Bombyx mori: one gene and its partners. The protein of the gene in region 3 interacts with the protein of the main gene of each other region in a biochemical or structural test. Links are inferred from orthologs where the notes say so. Each region holds a gene or a part of one and is shown on either strand. Other genes may lie near its edges.

Region 1 (2,179 bases), on a different chromosome or scaffold from region 3:
AGTAAGTAACTTGTATCTTTCTAACAAATATTTTTAACCAATTTTCAGGTAGGACCAAATTATCCTCACGAGCCGCCCAAAGTCAAATGTGAAACAGCAGTTTATCATCCTAACATAGACCTCGAAGGCAACGTGTGCCTGAATATACTCAGGGAAGATTGGAAACCTGTTCTCACAGTTAACTCCATAGTGTACGGTCTCCAGTATTTATTCTTGGTAAGCCCACTAAATTGATATAAAGACATAGCAATTAAGAACTTCTCATCAAACAGTTTTCTTTTTTTGGTTTTTCTTTTCCAGAAATTGACAAGTTTTGGTGTAATTATGATTATTTTCGTTTTTTTTTTTATTTCAACCTTTCAAATACTTCAATTTTCGTATTCACCGACAACTGTGAGTCTTTAAAGTATTTTTAATTATGTGTAGGACTCACGAAAACCAACGAAATAACTGCTGGTTATGGTTTGATGAAAAAGTTTATGTTTGAAGTAATATTAAATTTAGAAAAATGTATTAATCTCAAGAATGTTTCGGAATCTGAAGAAATTTACTGTACAAAATGCTCTTTTATCAAACTTAGGGCTGCCGATAAAAATCATAACTATAAAAATATTCGTATATTAGCAGTACTCGTAAAGATAAATATAATGAGATTAGATGGGAAAGTCGCTATTCGTCCGTCATCACACGTATTGCATTTTTATCTATTTTGGTGTACAATAACGCATACTCTCTCTTTCATTCACGGTATTGTATTTTATTTTTATCCAGTTTACGTGTACTTGTATAGTCTTGTATAATTGTATCCTATAACTCTCTGTGGAGAGAGTTCTTTGACGAATTGAGAAAATTTCATCATTTTCATTTTATCTTCGCACGAACTGTCAGCAAAGCTTATCTATACTCGCGCCACCCACCTCGAGATATACGTTCTAAGGTCTCAAGTAATAGTTCAACGGCTGCCCCACCCTTCAAACCGAAACGCATTACTGCTTCACGGCCGAAATAGGCAGGGCGGTGGTACCCACCCCCGCGCAGACTCACAAGAGGTCCTACCACCAGTAAAAAACATGTATTGGAATTGTTTTTTTTTTTTTTTAGGAACCAAACCCTGAAGATCCCCTCAACAAGGAAGCAGCTGACGAGCTCCAAAGCAACAGGCGACTTTTCGAACAACACGTTCAGAGAGCTATGCGAGGCGGCTACGTCGGCACATCTTATTTCGAACGATGCCTCAAATGAAAACCTGCACACGTGTAAAAAATGCTAACAACCATATAAATAATAATAAAATCTCATTTTAATGTTTTTCTATTGTTTCGTTTTTATTTATTTAATATTGTTTTTAAAAAAAGCCATCTCTAATGCCATGCCCAACAAGATATCTAAAGTACAATTATTATATTGAGAAATCGTTTAATTCACTTGAATTTCTCTTATAATAATTTCATAACAAAATATACGAGTCGTATCGATCGATCCTATATTTTTCGAGTTGATATCAAATTCAAACACAGTTATGTCTTCATAGTTAAACTTAAAAAAATGTCGCTAGTGGCGCTTAGGTCATTGTAAATAAAGAACTGCATTCAACAATTCTTTCATTTGAATACCTAAGTATATTTGTGATGTTGACTAATCCTTATCGGATGGGTAACTAGTAACTATAAATGTACTTTTCTAGTTATATACCAAACTATTACTCTGCTAGTTGGTGGATGAGATAGCATACACAATACATGAGTAAATGCATGTAGTATGCTGTAAGTATCTAACAAACCACTAAATACTTACTAAATAGTGAAGAATTCGATAAAAAGAGAAGGAAGGATTTAATTGATATGATTGAATTGATTTAGTGACACAAACGAATGTTTTAAAACCAATCCTAGTAGGTGGCACCGATGACGTCTGATCTGGCATCTATGCTAGTAAAAATACATTTGAGAATGCGGCTACCTACCCGAATTTTTAAGTCTACAAATAGCGTTCGTAAAATCAAACAAAAGCTTAAAATTTTGCACTGAAATATTTATTCCTTTTTTTTTAAATGGAATTACCGTCTGATAGCAGCGGGTAGGAAAAAACTTTAAAACCATTTTTGAATATCCAATTCGTAATTTAAATTTTAATACGCTTATCTCCTATTGAATTATGACAAAGTAAAGAAGTGTGAAAA
Region 2 (3,665 bases), about 9.0 Mb from region 3:
CTTGGCCTCGTCCAGCAGGTCGCGGCAGGCGTCGTCGGAGCGGATCAGCAGCTCCGAGGAGACGGTGCCCACCAGGAACTTGGGACTCAGCAGCGGCAGTCGGACGTGCTGGAGCACCTGCGCCAGGTGCTGCCGCCGCTCGGCCACGTTGTACTTGACCCAGGACATGACGGCCTGGAAAGTCTGCTCCTCCGAGCGAACGTTCAGCTCGTCCGAGGACACGATGTCGATCAGCTGCGAGGCGGGCAGCAGTAAGAACTCTTCACTCTCCATCACCTGCAGACAAAAATCCAGTGCAATTGCATCTTTCTGTTGTTTGTAACTAGCTAGTGCAGTAACTATACTATTAGATATCAGAAGTATTTATATATTTTATAATTGATATAATAGTAGTTCTGTTCCTGACGGAGAACTATTCCAAAATCACCATACTGTTGTATGGATGGCACATACTATAGCTTTTTATCAAACAGATGCATTCGACATATTAACAACAGTGGCATTGAACCCTGTCAGTGATTCGCTTCTTTTTAATTACAATTACAAAGCTATCATAATTTAATAAATTAGTGTTCTACATTGAAGGGCCCTCAAGCTCCTATGTCAAACTATACTCCCTCTGTGTTATGTTTGCTGGAAACTTATAGAACAAAAAAGTACATCGAGAATACAACCCATCTTTCACAGAAGCATTGAGTACAATCGTGTATTGAATGCAAATCGCATGGAAATATACTATAGTCAGTGTCACTAACCAATTGACCTTTTAGATGGACAACAAACATTTATATAATTTATGTTTAATATTAAGGTAGTATTGATTGTCATCACTTGAAAGTTTGATAGGAAATGAATTTCTATAGACTGGAGTCCCGGAGCACTTTGCTGGAAGAGCAGCTGTCATCCAATGTTTATTTATTTATTTATTTATTTGGGAAACAAACAGTACAATACAAACATATAATATTTAAAAAAATATAGCTAAAACAATAACCAAATATGTTTCCACAATCAAAATCACATATAAGTAGAGAGTGAACAAGAAGAGAAATTTAGAAATTTAAATTACAAAAAAACAAACAAACAAAAGCAACACAATACGCACATATTATTTTATACATCAACTATACTACTTATCGAGCCTAAATCACCTTATAACTGTTTTAAAATAGCTTTTCTATATGCTACAAGTGACAAGCAAAAGATGTCAGCATTAGAGAACTTAGCATCATACAACCTACAAGATCTACGGACAAAAGAGTTAGATGCATATTTCGTTCGAGCCGTGGACATGTGAAAGGTCTGTTTAGAACGCGCGGAAATACGACTACATTTAAATGAAATTTTGGAAAGAAGATAGCTAGAATCAATCTCGTTATTTATTATTTTATATAAAAACATTTGATCCCTCAGTAGCCTACGATCGACTAGAGATACAAATTCTGTCGGTTCTGGAGAGCGCCGACAATGGTATAAAAGATGCTTAAAAAACTTTTTTTGGACTCTTTCTAGTCGCTGAATATAAATATTATATTGGGGATTCCATGTGACGGAGCCATATTCCAATATAGACCGTACAAAACTGTTGTACAACAGAATCAAAGTAGATGGTCTTTTAAATTCTTTACCAACTCTAAGTATGAAGCCTAACATTCGAATAGCCTTATTTACTATTTCATTAACATGAACATCAAAAATCAGACTGGAATCCAAATAAATACCCAAATCACGAACAACTGTGGTGCGTACCAAAGTTTGACCATTAATAGAATAGTCATACAAGATATTCGATCTTCCACGTGAGAATGTTATAATAGTACACTTGTTAGTATTCACTGTGAGTAAGTTATTTTGACAGTAAACAAATAAGTTGTTCAAATCATCTTGTAATTCCAAACAGTCATTTAAGGACTTTATAACTTTATATACTTTTTTGTCATCGGCGTACATAATGAATTTGGATTTATTGAAAACATTTGAAACGTCATTGACATATATATATTAAATAACATAGGACCGAGATGAGAGCCCTGAGGAACTCCCGAGGGAACAGGTGCAAATGAAGAACATGTTAGAGAGATACATCTGCTTAAAGACAATAGAGCGCACCTCTGGGAAGTTCTGTTGTGTGAATTTATCGGCGATCCGGAGCAGTTCCCGACACGAGTGGGTGTCGGCGAAGGCTCTGATGCCGAGGCAGTTGGAGCAGTCCAGCTGACGCTTGAGGAACTCGCAGCACACGTCCTGGATCTCTTGCAGCTGCAGCAGGCACGCAGCCGGGAGCAGGGCCTGAGCGATGAAGACCGTATTACTTTCCAAATTCAATGCCAATCTGTATGGCTTACAATTGACAAGCCCGCCCTTTCATTACCGACATCAGTATGCCGCTAAAGGTCGACGCACAGTGAAAGCAACACACAAAAGGTGCTCCTGAAAAACCCAAGGATTGAACTTGGTAATAGTCTAAACTTTTATACAAACTTTTTTACTGATGGTCCTATTGTGAGCCTGCGCGGGTAGGTACCACCACCCTGCCTATTTCTGCCGTGAAACAGTAGTGCGTTTCGGTTTGAAGGTTGTAACTATACTTGAGACTTTTGAACTTATATCTCAAGGTGGGTGGCGCATTTACGTTCTAGATGTCTATGGGCTCCAGTGACCACTTAACACCAGGTGGGCTGTGAGCTCTTCCACAAAGCTAAGCAATAAAGCAATAAAATATAAACAACAAACAAGACACCACCTCGTCTGCTACATGCTGCTACCTACTATAGGCACATCGTGTAGTACCTGCACGTTACTCTCCTCGACGACGATGTGCGCGGTGTAGCAGAACTCCACGAGCTGCTCCATGGCCTGCTCGTCCACGTCCCGGATCGTGACTTCGGTGGCGCGAGACTCGGCCAGTTCCCCAGTGAACATCGCTCGGAAGTACGGGCTGCATGCTGATAGGATTACTCTGTTCCCAGGCATTTTTCAAGGATATGAGAATCGATTATATGGCTTCTCGCAATTTCTGATATCTTTTATCAGATATTGTCAAATTAAATAGGTTCTGTAGCAACATTATGTTATGAGCTTCTTCGGACACATCATGCGGTCTCACAGACATGAATTAGAGAAGCTCAAAATTACGGGTCGAATAGAAGGCAAGCGCGCCGTGGGCAGAACACCAGCCAGATGGTCAGATCTAGCAAGAGAAGCACTCGGTGGTAGTCTGTACCATGCAGTCCATGCCACCCATGATCGGGTGCATTGGAAGTACATCGCATGTGGTCGCGATCCTCAGTAGTGAGGGAACGATATAGAAGAAGAAGTAGCAACATTCATTTCTTAATTTAGTAGCCACCTACGGGGCACTACAAAAACAACCAGATTCGCTATAAGAGGCGATTAGCAGTAGACGAGGTACGAACTAACAGACATCTAGGAAACGATAAAAGTGCGCTTTTTTATGTTAGAGGGATTACTGGTGACCTTTGCAGTTTCACCAAGACAGTTGGGCCAGCAAGGTCTCAACCAGGAGGAGTGGGATTGGCTAACAGATACCCGAGAACCTCCAAGGAAGATCTAACACCTCAAGAGTAGCTGCTACGCGAATGAATCTACTGCCGGATCGAAATCGCGACCCGCTGAGAATATTCGGCGAGTAACTCAGCGGACGG
Region 3 (3,665 bases):
TGCGTCGGCCAGAAGCCGGTCGTGAGCACTCGGACGGACAGATCCACTCCGTACAAGTTCAGCTGTGAATGCGCACTGTTCTTTACATGCATAAGTGTTTAACGACGAAAATGTCTTATTTTTATATAGTACTAGCCGTACTCGCCCGCTTCGCTGGGCATTTAAAATTAACATTATTATTTATTGTCATTATTATTAGGGAGTCCAACACTGGTTACCGTCGCCCATGGACTTCAGCAATGCCAGGGGCAGAGCCAAGGCGCTGCCTACCGCTTAATACTCTCCACAAGCCTCGTTTGAAGAAGGACATGTCATAGCGCTCGGGAAATACCGTGGAGGGGAGCTCATTCCATAGCCGGATGGTACGTGGCAAAAAAGACCTCTGGAAACGCACTGTGGATGACCGCAGTGGCTCCAGGTAGTATGGATGAACTCTACTCCGGTGGCGGGCGGTGCGATGGTAAAAACGAGATGCCGGTATCATCTCGAACAATTCCTCAGAGCACTCCCTATGGAACATACGGTACAAAATACAGAGGGAACCGAAGTCCCTCCGCAGACCCAGAGGTTCCAAACGATTCGAACAGATTATGTAGGTAAATAAACTTACCCCACTAGAGAGCACGTGTTCCTTAAATTCATCCATGATGGTGTTAGAGACGGTCATATCCTTGAACATACCCTCTAATTTTGATGTGAACTGACAACCACACTCAGTCTAAAACGAAACAAAGAAAGGGTTTATTAAATACGACAAGCATATGAGTCGACGATTTCGTTTGATGCTCCCAACGTGCGGGCGTCACACGACACCACAATATGAATGGAGGAAGAACGGTCCCTTGTCCTAGTGTGTTAATTAGGAATTTACGATTGCTTTACGGCAGAAGCAGACAGGCTGGTGATGTTGTTCCGGGCGGGATTACAGCACATCGACTTCCCAACGTCGACGAAAGAAAAGTATTAAGGTTATTTAGAAAAATTAGGTGAACACCTAAGGATACAGTTTAAGATATACAAATTAAAAATACAACACAATTGTGTGATAGATAAATATTAGCTGTCTTTTTTTATAAACTCGTCGGACCATAGTTGTCTGTTTTCTGTATACTAATTAAATAGTTTTTATCTTTTGCTCGACAATAAACATCTACTTTATGAATATCTTTGAAAAAAAGTAGGAACTTATTATTACTCATTAGGATTTATTTCTATTAACTATTCTACCTTTTTTTTACAATCACCTGCTTAAAGTCTGTTTACATTTACATCTGCAAAATTCTTTACATTTTCCTTTTAAATATTTTAAAGCAAATCACAATTAGAAGTCCCACAGAAGACTTTAAGCAAGTTCTACGTTTAAAACTTACTTGAAATACATTGAAAAAATACTTGGACTCACAAACGAATATATCCATATGGTAAAGAATTTTGCAAATTTAAACAGGCACAATAGAACGGGTCGTGTTATTGTGATGTGTTAACGGTCACTGTTCTAGTTTTCAATTTGCGAAAAGTCACCGATAATGCAGTGATAGTCGCGGAGTTCCACATCCCTCAATAACCCTTCGTTCTGGTTAAATGATAATGATATTCATTGTATGGAGTAACTTCAAAATTAATTAGTTATGTTTGATTAAAAAACTAACACCATATATAGGTACAAAATGTAGTATAGTGTGTCTAGTAGTTTAATTCTAAATAATCAGGCAGCACAAATTTTCGTAGCAAATATGAGTGCATTTGTATGATATTTAGGCTCTAATTTTCTCGAGAAATTATCAAACTTGAACGCATGATTGAATCGCGGTAAAATAGGAAGGGCAGTGATACCAACCGATGCACACTTTCAATACACTCTGTTCCATTTCGTATGTTACAAAATACTTATTTATTATCAAAGTTCTAAGATGATATAAAATATCGTACATTATAGAATACTGACCTTAAGTTTGGAGATCATGTTCTTTTCACTGTCATCAGAGACAGACTTATTGAGTAAGAGCCGTTTCGCTAGATGCTGTTTATAATAACGTTCGAAAACGTCCTTCTCTTGTAAAAATCGGAATAGTACCATTGTTTTATCCAGCACAGCTTCGATTTCCTGTTCGCTCATCTGTAATAGAGAACGCATGTTGTAGAATTGCGGAACTAGATTCGTGAACAGAATTTGTGAAATGTTATTTTAATACTTACCCCCTTTTCGCCTTTCTTTAATTTTCCATCAATGAACAATGACAAGAATTCCGGTGACTTATTATTCAAGTTAAGGAAGTATTCGAAGTCTGACGTGATCATGTGCTTGAATATTTTATCGTTGTTGAATGAATTTTGTAGGAAATGGTCAAATCGGTCCTTTAGATCAAGAAGGTTCTGGAAGAATTGAAATAACCTCTAGTTAATCAGTCTATTACATATAATTGAATAAACAGAACTTTTTCATGTGTGCATAACAACAGCTACAGATTGAGTATACTTAAACATATTATGGCAGTTTTCGCAGTTAAAGAGGGGTATTAAATAATTTGTTTCGGGTATTTATTTTTGAAATACGATTTTAAAACTATATCGACGCTTGAAAGGCAAACGTGAGTAAGCGACAATTCGTGAACTTTACAGTAGACTAATTTAAAGTTGAAACACCTGAAAACAAAATTTATTTTAACAAATCTAGCTAGTAGCTGTAGGATTGAAATGATTTTAATAGACCTAGAAATATATATATATTTTGCGCATCGAATATGGTTATTGCCTATCATTTATGTATAAAGCAGTTATTGTCGTTTAGTCACGTTCGCCTTTCAAGCGTCGATATATATCCTGTTTTGTCGTGTCCGTACGTACGCACCTGAACGTATGCGATGGCGTTGGTGTTGTGCAGCGTGTCGGTGACGAGCGCGCGGCCCTGCTCGCGGAGGTGCGCGGACACGGCGTCGGCCACCGTGCGCAGCCCCTCCCCGACGCGCGACAGCAGCTTGTACACGCAGCCCAGCTCCGACGTGCGCGTGTGCGTCAACATGTGCACCACGCCAGAGTTCTCCATCTGAACACAAAGAACCGAATCCTTACTGTCTTCACTATTGCGTAATGAATATCGATAACTGTAAAGGCTTCGTCAAACAGAACGCGTAATTAGCACGCGTCAGAGCGCTAAACCGACGGCGCGCTATGACGCCGAGATGTGTTGTACTACTATGGTAACATACCGTCAAACAGAGCCCCAGCGCTATAAGTACGCAACGCTCTGTCGCGGCGTTAGGACGCTTTGACGTCAGGCGTAATTTTTTACAAATTTTATTTTAGCGTCCGAGTGAATGTGTATAAAAATACTAGATAATGCCCGAAAAATTGAGAGAAATAGTTAGAAAATGCCCATGCTTATACAATGCCACATTTGAATCACTCGACATCTTAATACTTTTAAATTTTCACATTGCTATCGAAAGGCACTATGATTTGGCGAATGCGTTGCCTCAAGGAGCGTTGGACCCATCTAGTCAATTTGTGTGAAAGGAAAAGAGCGCGATGTTAAAACGCGGCGCTAAGTACGCGTTCTGTTTGACGAAGGCTTAATATCTTCTTTTTTTTTTTAAGTGATTTTATGACCTGATAACTAAGACCTTTAAGTCATGTCTTATTATAATGTATATTCTTATTTTTATGAA

The links.
Region 1: the proteins of cullin-3-A (region 3) and ubiquitin-conjugating enzyme E2M form a complex in vitro, tested with the Homo sapiens proteins (2 studies listed by BioGRID, with this or other methods). The link is inferred for Bombyx mori from reciprocal best matches to the Homo sapiens genes CUL3 and UBE2M.
Region 2: the proteins of cullin-3-A (region 3) and kelch-like protein diablo form a complex in vitro, tested with the Homo sapiens proteins (2 studies listed by BioGRID and IntAct). The link is inferred for Bombyx mori from reciprocal best matches to the Homo sapiens genes CUL3 and KLHL20.

Annotation. Positions count from the first base shown.
Region 1 is NC_085121.1:6,067,230-6,069,408, reverse strand, and holds the end of ubiquitin-conjugating enzyme E2M, read left to right. Parts: intron 1-48; coding exon 49-216; intron 217-1,101; coding exon 1,102-1,242; 3' UTR 1,243-1,591; downstream 1,592-2,179.
Region 2 is NC_085110.1:681,850-685,514, reverse strand, and holds part of kelch-like protein diablo, read right to left. Parts: intron 2,960-3,665; coding exon 2,791-2,959; intron 2,290-2,790; coding exon 2,110-2,289; intron 277-2,109; coding exon 1-276. UniProt on the Homo sapiens protein: Substrate-specific adapter of a BCR (BTB-CUL3-RBX1) E3 ubiquitin-protein ligase complex involved in interferon response and anterograde Golgi to endosome transport.
Region 3 is NC_085110.1:9,634,166-9,637,830, reverse strand, and holds part of cullin-3-A, read right to left. Parts: intron 3,044-3,665; coding exon 2,849-3,043; intron 2,374-2,848; coding exon 2,197-2,373; intron 2,117-2,196; coding exon 1,946-2,116; intron 719-1,945; coding exon 611-718; intron 63-610; coding exon 1-62. UniProt on the Homo sapiens protein: Core component of multiple cullin-RING-based BCR (BTB-CUL3-RBX1) E3 ubiquitin-protein ligase complexes which mediate the ubiquitination and subsequent proteasomal degradation of target proteins.